Linked DNA regions of Tribolium castaneum. The protein of the gene in region 3 purifies or fractionates together with the protein of the main gene of each other region. This does not show direct contact. Links are inferred from orthologs where the notes say so. Each region holds a gene or a part of one and is shown on either strand. Other genes may lie near its edges.

What was found. Proteins that work in one complex are often made in the same cells at the same time.
Region 1: the proteins of mini-chromosome maintenance complex-binding protein (region 3) and Mcm2 purify together in Homo sapiens (co-immunoprecipitation; 6 studies listed by BioGRID and IntAct, with this or other methods). This does not show direct contact. The link is inferred for Tribolium castaneum from reciprocal best matches to the Homo sapiens genes MCMBP and MCM2.
Region 2: the proteins of mini-chromosome maintenance complex-binding protein (region 3) and Keap1 purify together in Homo sapiens (affinity purification with mass spectrometry; 3 studies listed by BioGRID and IntAct, with this or other methods). This does not show direct contact. The link is inferred for Tribolium castaneum from reciprocal best matches to the Homo sapiens genes MCMBP and KEAP1.

The regions. Positions count from the first base shown.
Region 1 is NC_087400.1:2,398,521-2,402,882, forward strand, and holds part of Mcm2 (DNA replication licensing factor Mcm2), read right to left. Parts: coding exon 4,250-4,362; intron 4,200-4,249; coding exon 3,513-4,199; intron 1,110-3,512; coding exon 645-1,109; intron 1-644. UniProt on the Homo sapiens protein: Acts as a component of the MCM2-7 complex (MCM complex) which is the replicative helicase essential for 'once per cell cycle' DNA replication initiation and elongation in eukaryotic cells.
Region 2 is NC_087395.1:20,702,196-20,705,779, reverse strand, and holds the end of Keap1 (kelch-like ECH-associated protein 1B), read right to left. Parts: intron 2,982-3,584; coding exon 2,599-2,981; intron 1,329-2,598; coding exon 1,123-1,328; 3' UTR 795-1,122; downstream 1-794. UniProt on the Homo sapiens protein: Substrate-specific adapter of a BCR (BTB-CUL3-RBX1) E3 ubiquitin ligase complex that regulates the response to oxidative stress by targeting NFE2L2/NRF2 for ubiquitination.
Region 3 is NC_087394.1:35,481,094-35,485,882, reverse strand, and holds mini-chromosome maintenance complex-binding protein, read right to left. Parts: upstream 3,384-4,789; 5' UTR 3,176-3,383; coding exon 3,086-3,175; intron 3,037-3,085; coding exon 2,854-3,036; intron 2,804-2,853; coding exon 2,705-2,803; intron 2,661-2,704; coding exon 2,104-2,660; intron 2,052-2,103; coding exon 1,872-2,051; intron 1,808-1,871; coding exon 1,564-1,807; intron 1,516-1,563; coding exon 1,348-1,515; intron 1,301-1,347; coding exon 1,103-1,300; 3' UTR 1,046-1,102; downstream 1-1,045. Other genes in the region: ciliary microtubule inner protein 2B, read left to right, coding at 1-111, 159-383, 626-858; vacuolar fusion protein CCZ1 homolog, read left to right, coding at 3,560-3,634, 3,679-3,776, 3,824-3,917, 3,965-4,171, 4,218-4,393, 4,448-4,737, 4,784-4,789. UniProt on the Homo sapiens protein: Associated component of the MCM complex that acts as a regulator of DNA replication.

The sequences.
Region 1 (4,362 bases), on a different chromosome or scaffold from region 3:
TATTGTTGGAACTTGAAAGTGGATAAAAAGTGAAAAATATTTAAATTTTGATTACAAAGTGTTATCAAACAGTTGTCTAATTAAAGATTATAAGTAATGGATCACAGCGAACACAAAGTTTGGCTCAAGAAACCAATAAATTAGTGAAGTGTTATGAATTTTAGGTTAGAATTTTCCACTGAAAAAATCATGAAATGCTGCGGTAAATCTACAAAACTACAATAAAGATTAACAACTGCTGATACATTTAAACGTAAATTATGCCAAAAGGTAGGCTTTTCAATGTCTTTGTAATAATTTTCCAATAAAGAAAGTGGACCAAACAGTCATTTGTTATTCGTGTTTTCCTCGTCATCTCTCATTTGTCAACATAAGTTTCTTGCATCAAAGATGCAATAATCATTCCGCATAGGCAATGTAATAATTGTGAAGCCCCAAAATTCGTATAACGCTCAAAATATCCGAATAAACATTTTCCCGCCATTTATGGTTACTGTTTTCGACCTAGCTCAGTGGCGCCCCCAACGGTAATTTTACTTCCGAATTTTACAAACATGCCGCAAAAACACAGCTATAATGTAAAAAAAAAGAAAAAGTCAATATCTTTAATAATACACAAGTTATGGACCTTTTTAGCCACTTACCAACGACTCCTGTCGCAGTTGGCTGTAAATATTGGCGATTTTGTCCTGGTCCATGTTTTGCAGCTTCGGATGGACATTTTCGCGTGCATAGACCAAGTATTTGCGTAGCATTTCCTGCGGGATGGTTAGGTCGTTGTCACTGTCCTCAATTTCCAAAGTTTGGCCCTTTTTGGACGGGTGGTGACGTATGTGCGAGTTGACGACGAATTTCGCCAAGTGTTGGTCTTGGATTGGGTCAATTTCGTCTCTCACCACGCACATTATGTCAAAACGGGATAAAATCGGGTCGGAAAGGTTCACATTTTCGGCAAAAGTCATACTAGCGTCATAACGGCCTCCGATTGGATTCGCAGCCGCTATGACCGAACAGCGGGCCTGGAGACTTGTTACAATGCCGGCTTTTGAGATGGAAATTGATTGTTGTTCCATTGCTTCGTGGATTGAGGTCCGGTCTTGGTCGTTCATCTGATTTAATTCAATTTATAATCTTACCAATTATTTATTAAAACTGCCAGTTTTTTTTCATTACTCCAAATAATAATTACAAATTTATTATTTTTCAAATTTTGAAATTTTGAAATGTTTAGGCCACTATATTAATATTTAAAAAACCAAAAAAAAACAATCATCTCTTTGAAGAGCCATAAGATTACAATATTGTGTAATATTATTTTCCATTTAGTTTTTATAACATTTCTTTTCTGTTAGCCTTTTTTGTGTTTATTAGAGTGAATATTATTTAGGTTCGCTAAAATTGCGTAAGTATGCAAAATTTCAGTTCGTTCGGATAACTGGAACCTTCTTAAAATATATTTGCAAAATATTAAACAGACAACAAACAAGTGAAATAAAAGCTACTAATAAAAAAAAAACAAAAATTTTAATACTGTTTTCTCAACAGGAAGGTAACAAATAAATTTAAAAAAAGGAATAGAAAAACTTTTTTTCGGGAAATATTTAAATTTTCTTTAAAATTATCTAAGTAACCCCAGTGACGAGGAACTACTTTCTTTTTTTTAACAATTTTAAAAATTTTGATAACTCTTATTTTTTTTTTCAAACAACAAACTAAAAATGTTACATAACAATTCAAAAAAAAAAACTTTAAAAAAGTGGTTAATGCAAATTATACTACCAATTCTAGAAATTCTAGAAAAAAAAAGTAGTCAATCTTTCAGTGACATTGACCTGTGAACACATTTCTTTATGTACAGGGTGCTCTATTTTAAATGTCCGAATAGGGAATCTCCGAAACTAAGAGGTCTAGAGAAAAACGAGTGATACATTCTTGGGTCCGTTTTTTGAGAAAATAATTTTGGTCAAAACCGCATCTCGCTATCGTCTTTTGTTTTCGACTTATAAACAAAAGTTGACATTTTAGCGAAATCTTAAAAAATTCATATCTTTCTCATTATAAAAGATACACATTTGAAACAAAGACATTATCCAGGCACTTTTTTTCAGAGAATCTAATAATGTTATCAGCGATTTTTTTCAACCATTCGTTTAACTGTAATAACATAAAGTTGTATTTTTTTAAATAGGAATCATAGTTGGCTATGATATTCTCGAAAAGCTTATTTTTTTCTGATTTGATATGTCTATTTGTGTAATACATAATTTTAAATATTTAAGAAAAAAAAAAACATTTCGCTTTTTCTTTATAGTAGGCCATGAAAAATTTTTGGATTTTTAATTAAAACTATGAAAATTGTATTACCCAACAAGTATTTATAATTTAATGATTTTTTAAACCCTAATTAATTCAAAAACAGCATAATAAATTTTTATTAGATCAAATTTTTGCAATTAATAAAAATTTTTTCTTTTTATATTTAAAATGGCAAGCTCACGTTGTCATTCTATTTTCCAATTTTAAACAAGAAATGTCGGAAGGAGAAAAATCTTATTAATTGTATGATTGCGTATCAATAAAATTTTATTTTACAAAAAAATGTCAATCCAAACACCAAAATCAAATTCCATCTGCGGTAAAAAAATACACAACATTATCAACGTCACCTCCATTGCACTAAATCATAAAAAAGTGGCATCAGGTGGTAGTGAGACATCGTTTGCAATTTTCTGCACATTTTTATGTAATTAAAATCTGCGACGCTCGTATATTTGTTCAATTGAAAATAACTTTAACTTATTTTTATAATTTCACATTTTTACTTTAATAATCATTCACAAAATTTCTAGATTATTCACACCTTTTATGCGAAATAATTTTTCCATGGCCAACTACTTTCAAATATTTTAAATACATTTTTATCAAAAATATATAAAAATATCAAACTATATTTATATTGTTTTGAGCTCAAAAAAAAATAAGCTTTTCGAAACTGTCATAGCCAACTATGATTCTCATTTAAAAAAATACAACTTTATGTTATTACAGCTAAACGAATGATTAAAAAAAACGCTGATAACATAGCTTATTTTTATAATTTCACATTTTTTACTTTAATAACCGTTCACAAAATTTCTAGATTATCACACCTTTTATGCGAAATAGTTTTTCCATGGCCAACTACTTTCAAATATTTTAAATATATTTTTTATCAAAAATATATAAAAATATCAAACTATATTTACATTGTTTTGAGTTCAGAAAAAATAAGCTTTTCGAAAATATCATAGCCAACTATGATTCTCATTTGAAAAAATACAACTTTTTGTTATTACAACTAAACGAATGATTAAAAAAAATATTTTTAATTGTTTACTGAAAGGAAAAACGGAATAAACAAACATCCAATTGTTTTTGGCGCAATAAAAAATGCACAGCAAAAATACAACAAAATTTGTAAATTTTTTTTCATTAAAAAAATTCAACGCCAATGGTGAAAAAAAAATTGTTACCTTGTCAAACTCATCGATGAGACAAACCCCCTGATCGGCGAGCACCAGCGCCCCCGCCTCCAGGGTCCACTCCCTGGTGGCGGGATTGCGCCTCACATACGCCGTCAGCCCCACGGCACTAGCCCCCTGCCCCGTGGCAAAAACAGCCCTTGGTGCAATTTTCTCCACATATTTCAAAAACTGTGATTTCGCCGTTCCGGGATCCCCACAAATCAGGACATTAATATCGCCTCTGATTTTGTGCTTCTGGCCCGGATTTTTGGGCTCTCCCCCGAACAGGGCCAGCGCCAGCGCCCGCTTGATGTAATCGTGTCCGTAAATCGAGGGCGCAATTGAGGCAATAATCCGGTCGGCGATTCGGTGATCTTTGCTCATTTTGCGAATTGCGTTGACGTCGTCGTCCGTCAGCGACTGGACGATCTGTTTGCAGTCTTTGACCACCAGGTGGTTGGCGAAAATCACGGTGGAAAAGACCGGAAAGCCGTTGTCGATGTTTAAGGCGCCGTCGTAGTTGTTTGAGTAAATTCCGGTGACGTCGACTTCGTCTCCGGGCTTGCAGAGGTCGCACAGGTCGGCCAGGAGGATGCAGTCTTTGGAGCGGGGCACGCGCCCGGCGGGGATGTGCCCCGGGCACTCTTGGAGCGTGATTTTTTGGTAGTTGCGGTAAAGTGTTTGTTCCATGTTGATCTAATTTTTTATCAAATTATTATTGTTTTTTTTTTTTTTTGAAAAATTACCATGAAAGGGCCGGTGCTTTGACACTCGGGACAAACCCCAGGTTGGACCTCACTGTGCTGGTTTTGCACAAAAGGGCCCAAAACGAAGCCACATTTGTTACAATCGAATTTAA
Region 2 (3,584 bases), on a different chromosome or scaffold from region 3:
CGTTCAAATAAGCTTTATCAGGGGCCCGTTTCATAAATTACAAGTGATTTACTTGTCACTTGTAAAAATCAACTTGTAATTTTTATAAAAGACTCCTGGAGGTAACACTCTTATTTAACTTAGGAATTCTAAAGATCTAAAAAGATTTAATCAAGTAATTTTTGCACCTACGTATCTAATACTTATTAGATGATGATCTTTGTTAAATAATTATTAAGATGGGCAATTGCGCGTACCTAGTTACTCATTTTAAAAATATGTGCTTACGAAAATATTTGTAAATTCATGTCATAACCGTTGAAAATCTTACAAAACAATCATTAAATGTTGACGATAGATGTTTTGTACTTGTGGTGTAATTTAAAATCGGATGAAAAATGTATGACAATTTTTTTCAAGGTCCGATTGATTATTGACTCATTTATCCAATTAGTTATATAAACTTCGTATTATATTATATAATACAATATTATATTGTATTATATACTTCGTATCTATTCTTTTAATTATTCTGTCATTTAAAAACGTCACCCTGATTTCTAACTCTTCCTTTTAATTTGCAATTATTTAAATTTAGTTTAGAACCAAATTTATTTGTACAAGTTTTTCTTTTTCTACAAAGCTTGGTTATTTTTTTTAATCCAGGAAATTAAAAAAAATACTATTAGAAAATGAGGGATAATTGCAATGTCCGTTTAAACTTAGAATAGGTTTGCTGTTTTTCCCTTTTTTTAACAAATCCAGCACAATAAAACATATCCATGTTAGAGGGATTATAGCCAATAAAAGATAAATTAAGGCAACGGGAATGTTTTATTCAACATTTATAAATACTGTCTCACAGTAACTTTCAAGAACAATAGATTTTTAAATCGGTTTAAAGTATCTACAAAATCATAAGAAAACTCACACACGCACATCTTCATTTACATAAATAAATTATTAAATACCGTCATTTTTTCTGTTCTTAACAAAACAATAGACTCCATACACACTTCTGACAAATATTATCACATATATTGAGATGTATAACTGAACTGATGCAACAAAAATGCACGTTTAACCTATTTTCAGTCAGGTAAAGATTATTATTATTATTTTTAATCCGACATAACGCCTTTATTACTTAATGGTGGAAGATGACGTCGAACTCGAACTATTGTTTATTTGCGATAAAATCCTACACTTCTGAGTACAAGGTGGTTGGTAACAAACAGCACTAGTATGACCTGATCGACCCGAGGTCAACGGTTCCCCATCCTCCCATACGTCTCTCAAAGGATCATAAATTTCTACGTTCGCTAAAAAATCCTGACCATTATATCCACCTGAAAGTTATTAAAAATTAGTCTACAAAACTAAAAAGGAGGCGAAACACAAAAAATTTAGTGAGCTGAATTCAAGAGCAATTTGCATAAAAAAAAAACAGGAATACTGAACCTTCTATTCTCCAAAAGAGAAGAAAAAATAACAAATACAGCTGTGAAAATATGAAATAAAAAGTTGTAGTGTCATTTTATAGAAGAAGCGTTATTAATTTAATCCGCAATTAAATGTCTGATTTACTGAGCACGTGACCAAATTGAACAAATTTGATTGGTCTATTTGCGTTGTTAACATTTAACAACGAATTAAAATTTAATGAAGCTTTCTATAAATCGGCCAGTAGAGAATTAACTTTATTTACTTAGAATTTACTTTATGAACAAACTAAAATAAAATAAATGAAAGAGACAGTCATAAAAGAAAAAAAAACACGAAACTTATGACAAAAGTTCTAAAGTTCCTAAATCATCAAAATCATCGAATGAATTTTGGGTTTTGACCAGTAATTATTGTGTAAATCCATTTCACATAAGAAATATTTTTTATTTTGCGAAAAAATTTGTAATTGGATTAGAAAAATCGAATTCGAATTTTTGTTATATCGCGACACATCAAACTTCAACGCCGGTCGTAACGTTCAAAACAAACTTTTTTTTAATCTCCCAAACCAATCTTGATTGTCCTACAACATTAATTACATGTTGCACATTTTTTTTCTTTTACGACAAATTAATATACTGGAATAATTCTTTGGACCATAGGTACGTAAAACTTTCCAATAAATCGATTAGTGTTTATAAAGCCTAGTTTAAAGGATATTAAAGTATTAAAAAACTGTATTTTTATCGCAAACACTGAACGTAATCAACGTTCAAAATTTAGGAAACCGGTTTGTAAAAAAATGTTATAAATATAAATTTTTGTTGATTTGGGTAAAGTTCCAAACACAATTAACAGCAATGTTTCAGAACATGCATAAGTAAGACCTTCTAAAAAATGTGTTGAGGAGAAACCCAAAAAATTCTTCGGCAACGATTTTTCAGTAGCTATCAATGTCGTGCCTATTTATACCAAAAGTCCATTCAAAATTTAAAAAAAAGAGAAAAATCGAATCAAATGAGTTTTATTGTACTCTTAGCGATCAAAGAGTCTTTAAAAGTGACATAAAATATTCGTTTAGTAACTTAACTAAAATAACGAAATGTAGTACGAATGATTTGTTTCACCTCTTAATACTTTTTTTGAATCTACCGTAGTTGTTGAAACACTCACCCATTGCGTATATTTTGCAATCTAGGACCGTTACACTTAGGGCACTTCTTGCAATCTTCATACTAGCAACAAATTCCCAAGTATCTTTCTCCGTATCATATCTTTCCACTGTATTCAGTTGCTTCGAGCCGTCATATCCACCAACTACGTATATGTACTGATTAATTGCGGCAACTCCAGCGCCGCTCCGTTGCGTATGCATGGGGGCTATCATAGTCCACGAGTTATTTTCGGGGTGGTAACACTCTGCACTATTGTGTCTTTGGGTACCGTCATAACCACCTATTGCATATAGCAGTCGGTTGACAACAGCGACACCAACCGCTAGACGTTTGAAATGCATAGGTTTTATCGTCGTCCACCTATCCAAATCAGGATCGTAGCTGAAAAATAAACAGCAACTTAGACTTAACTTTAGACGGGTACTTGTTTTGTAAGAAACAAGGTAAACTCTCAAGTCGTCTCGATAATTTTTTTCAATTTAGAAAAACATTTAATTAAAAATATTGATAAGGATAATATAGATAAGAATTGACGGTTATAGCAAAAAAGATGCAGTTTCTAATTATAATTATTTGGAAGTATGCAAAACAATGCAACAATTAAAATGTTATCCGAGGAAATAGTTTGCAAATTATTTGGAATATTATAACGCGTTTATTGATTATCAACGATTATAAGTTTTTTTTAATTTGGTTTTATTATTAATCTGTTGCTGATGTTGTCAGATTTGAATTAATGTCAAATGTACTAGTTTGGTGGTAAATGTTTTAAACACCATAAAATACAATATGACGATTTTTTCAAAAAGTATAAAGCTTGTGAAAAAAGGCTCAAACAATTTTTTGTCATAAGAATTTTAACTTAGTTTAATGTCAGCTATCAATATCCAAAAGATGGTCGGCGACTTTTAAATCACCTGTAGTTACTGTGAGTTTCAACTTGTACGCAACTTAGGAAATGTTAGCCTTTGCCAAATAATAACG
Region 3 (4,789 bases):
AGGACTATAAGACCCCCATTTTGGACCCGATCGTTAAGACAAAGGGGCAGTTTAAGGATTACGCTGACGATTTTAAACGCAGAGCGCCGCGTTACATCACCGGTTACACAGGCACGTAATTAAAGACATTTTTCTTTTCTTTAATTTCCTAAAAATAGGTTTCATCCCAACCCTGAACTTTCGCTACGGAAAGTCGTACAGTCGAACCGCCGATGACTGTGCTTACGAATACGAGACCAACAAACACAGGAGGATTCAATTGGCGGAACAAGAAATTGATAAAATGTTTCGGGCCCAAAGTGCGCCCCGATTGAATCCCATTAGAAATAAGGACGAAGTGAAGCGTGCCATGAATGAATACGTTGAAAAACACAAATTCCAAGGTAAATATCGGATACAAATCTACTATTTTCACAACAAAAGATTCAGCGAAACTGGTGGTATTATCAGAAAAAAAATCTTAGCCATTCTGAAATACATTTGATACTCGATTTGAGATAACAGTTAAAATATACTTTAAGTAAACTTATTATGGCTAGATGAGCCCATAAAATAGTTTAATACAAAGGAAAATCCCTCACGAAATTCTCTGAGGAAATAACACCCCACTTGACTAATTTTGCAGATCATAAAATTTCTCCGGATTATCCACCAATTGCCGGATACACGGGACACATCCCACGTGTGAAAGGGAACGAAGAATCGCTGTCTCAGCGTTACAATACAGTCGTAAAAAGAGGACTAACACTGTTACAGAAGGAAAGAGAAAGGATACAAAGTTTGAAGAAGGCGCAAAACCAAGTCGTTGGAGTTTTGCAAGACTTTGAAAATCTTCACAAAAGAGTAGAAACTTCGTAATGTTGCTTGTGGCAACGTTATTGAAGGGAGAATAGAAGCTTTAGTGTTTCATTGTTGTGAAATATCACAAAGCGCAAATGTATATGCAGTCAAACCTCTGTAATCCGAATTAACTTTGCACTGTGTTCTTCGGATTAAAGAGGTTGTACTGTAATCGTATTTTGTTTGGTTGTTTATTGAAACAATGTTTAAAAAGTGACAATTTATTATCAGAAAATAGAAAATAAAAACCACATCTTTTAAATTATTTCTCGGAACTGCGATTCTTTATTCTTTCTTTTCGGGCTTCTTCCAAGGCACACGCTTTCTTCCAACATTCCTCATCCAAGGTGTTTCTTCCTTGTGAGATGCAAACAAGTCTCGCCAAAACAAGGAGACTGTGAAGATCGTCTCCTGTGATGTTACCAGCTTGTCTCATTTCAACAAACTTATTTTGGACCATCTACAATTTTTTTTTCCTGATAATTGACACCAAAAAATGCAATTTACCTCAAGCACACCGTCTGATAAGTCATATTGGGTCAACCGGGCGTTAGTTAGATAAAGTCGAATATCATTTAGCAGCTCAGGTTTGAGGAAATGTTTTGCCGCTTCCAGAATCTCGCTGAAAGTCTTTAAATGCATTTCTTCTGGTTTGAGAATTACATGAACATCGCTCTAGAAAAATTTTTTTCAAAACTGTTTAACAAAGTGATAAGTACAAACCGGCAGCATTGATTTGCCTTCAGAAAACACAAGAAACGGAATATCACAATCATACTCGAGCTGATAGTACGTGAAATCGTACATGATTTTTTGGTTCTTGATGGTGTTTGAAAGAGCGCGAACTCCGGTAACTCCGCCCTCGTTTAATTTTCCCGGAGTTAGTTTCGTCTCGTCCAACACCAAATGAGTATTATCACTTAATTGCAAAACACTACTTGTTAAACGATCCGAACTGTAGTCTTTTCTTCAAAAACAAGCCAAGAAGAATCATTTTACACAAACTGAAATAACGGTGCTACGGAACTTACTTTGGAACAAAATTGAGCTCATTCATATTCTCGAGCAACATCGGCAAATAATGACTTTTGGTAGTGAGGGTCTCTACAAACTTGTAAATTTCCTGGACATAATCAATGTTTTCAAGCATTGGGACGTTGGAAATGTTTAAGGAAAATTTTCCAAGTGCCATTAAATCTTTCCGCAAGTAGCTAAAAGTCTACACGTGAAAAATAGCAGAATCAAATGTGCGAATTCCCTTACACTTTAGAAATGAAGTGGTAAATTAAATACTCGGCTGCCAATTCATCTCCACACATTAATTGTGTTAATAGAATCAAAAGTTCTTTTCTAATGATCTGCATTTTATCAGCGCTCATTTTTTCGTGCGTAACTAATGGATTATTGTGAGTCAATGATTTGAACGACACACAATGAATTCTAGGAATTAAACACGGAGGAGGATTGTGAATTTGAGACTCCAGACCGTTCATATCATCATCAATGTTAGCCCCTAAAAGCGGATTGAGGGACAAAAAGCCCACAAATTCACAAATTGAGTTCAATTTAATCTTGTCCATGTCTTTGTATACTTTTAAGTGGCATACTTTGCCAGACGGATTGGGGATTGGGAAATTTAAAAGGTACTCTTGGGAAACAACAGGTGTTGTTTCTGCAGGTTGTGCTGACTGATTACATGGGCGCTTGTTAGAGTTTGATGGTTCAGTTGCACTAGCGACTTCCATTTCTTCAACGGGTCGTTTTAAGTGCACTGAAGTTGAAGAGCTTGTAGACGGTAGTTTGTACCTGTCCTCCTCAAGCTAATTTTTTTATTACACAACCCCTCAATTAAAACAATACTCACTTTATGAACCCATGGATTAATACCAGGGATTGAAATTGCAACGTAAACATGCCGCTCACTTGGAGTGGTTGAGGGACATTCCTCAATGGTTTCATTAGACTGTCAACACATACTCAGCCCCCGAATAGCTTTCAAAAAATTACTCTTACCTTACAGTCTGCACCATCAACGTATTTGCCGTATTTAATAGTACTTTCTGCAGTTTCAGTGTTTGTAACAGTGAATTTTTCCAAGTAGAGTTCGGGACCGTGCATATCCTGTATCATGCCCTGGAAGCGAACCAGTTGCCAGTCTTGGAAATTGTGCAGCTCGTTTGCATTCAACAGTGGAATCTAACAATGTACAAAGTGTTCAAAAATTGTAAAAGTGTAACTTTCTAACCTGATTCCAGATTTGTTCGTTTTGAAGTAATTCCGAATATTTCGTTTCGTTTAGGTACCATTGGTCGGGCCTACAGTTTAATAAGTCCATTTTTGCACTCGTTATTATTATTTTTAAAGAAAAAGGAACACCCGAAAATAACCTCGAAAAAGGGTTACACTTTTTGGCGCCAAATTATATGTCAATCTTTGCGTTGCAACTTGCAATTTCCCTAATCCCAAACAACTTTAAAAAATATTAAAGACACTTGAGGAAGGAATAATTATACAATAGATATGCTCTAGTTCTAAAACTGACGGCAAAAGTAGGTACTTTGGTACCTGTCCGCGTATTTTTAATGTTTGAGATGTATGGCAAATGAATAATATGGATCAATGGATATTGCTAAACATAACATAACCTAGTAAAAATTTTGGACTTGAAAAATTTGTTTCTAAAAACATAATATTATTCAATAAGTTTCGAACCGGAATTATGAGTAAAAACAAAGACGTGGAGTTAAAAAACTTTTTTATTTTCAATTCTCTATATGGCCCCAAGGAAGGGGAGGTGCGTACGCCCCTTTTAGAACACAATCACAATGTCTTTTCCAGGAACTGAAAAAAATTCTTTATTATTATCCAATATCTGACAATGCCGATGTACAAATAAAGAATGTGGGGTTAGTTGAGGGGATCATTCAATTCACTGGGTAAAGTGTTTGAGATAAGGGGCAAAAAACTGTAAGATTTCTTGTAGCACATTTAAACCAAGCACTCCAGTGAATTCACTACATACGCAAAAAATGCGTCAATTGTATTTCCAACCAGAAAAAAATATGTGGATTGTTTTGGTATTTACACATCTTTAATCAATACTTTTAAGCACTAAATATTATAGACGTTAACTTTACCAACCGAAGTTAAGGGGAAGGACAGTTCAACTCAAATCGAATATCTCGAGGATGATGTACAAGACAATGTTTACGAAGCCGTCTTAAAACAAGCCTATTACACGTATAGACTTTTCTGGGGCACTTTTGAACACACGATTGAGAACCACGATGTGGGCACACTTAAAACAAGACTTGAAAGTTTCTATAAAGCTGTAAGTTAACAAGATTATTTAAGAAATTTTAATTTATACTTCACAGTATCTGAAAACCTTAAAACTAGGGCATGCTGATATTCTGAACGTGTTCCACGGAATTCAGTATCTGCCTCTTGACAAACTAACTTTTTTAAAAGTCCAATGTTTTATCAATTCACTTGAATGCGAGTATCCCGAAATTGCGTACACAGCGTTCTTATACAACGATCATCTCATATGGTAATTAATTCAAATAACTTAAAACTTGTTTTATAAGTAATAACTAATTCAAAGGAGCGGTTTTGAACCCAAAGACATGAAAATTGTGTACCAATATTTAATTGGCACTTTACTGCCCGCCAACATGGAGGCTGAACTTCAAGGGGGCTCAATGCCCCGTAATTCTGTTTCACCTTTTGCTGCATTACATCACGGTCGTTTCATTACGGGACCTACAAATTTAAAAACAGCCAAAAATGTGGGGAAAATACCCAAAGTTTATTTATTTGCCTCAGGGAAGGCCGAGTCCTACAACTTGGTGGTTTATAGGGCGCTAAGTGCGTCCGTTTGTTTATTTATGAGAGGTTTGTTTCGTTTGTTTGGTTTTATTAAATTAATTGTTAATTATAGCCGACA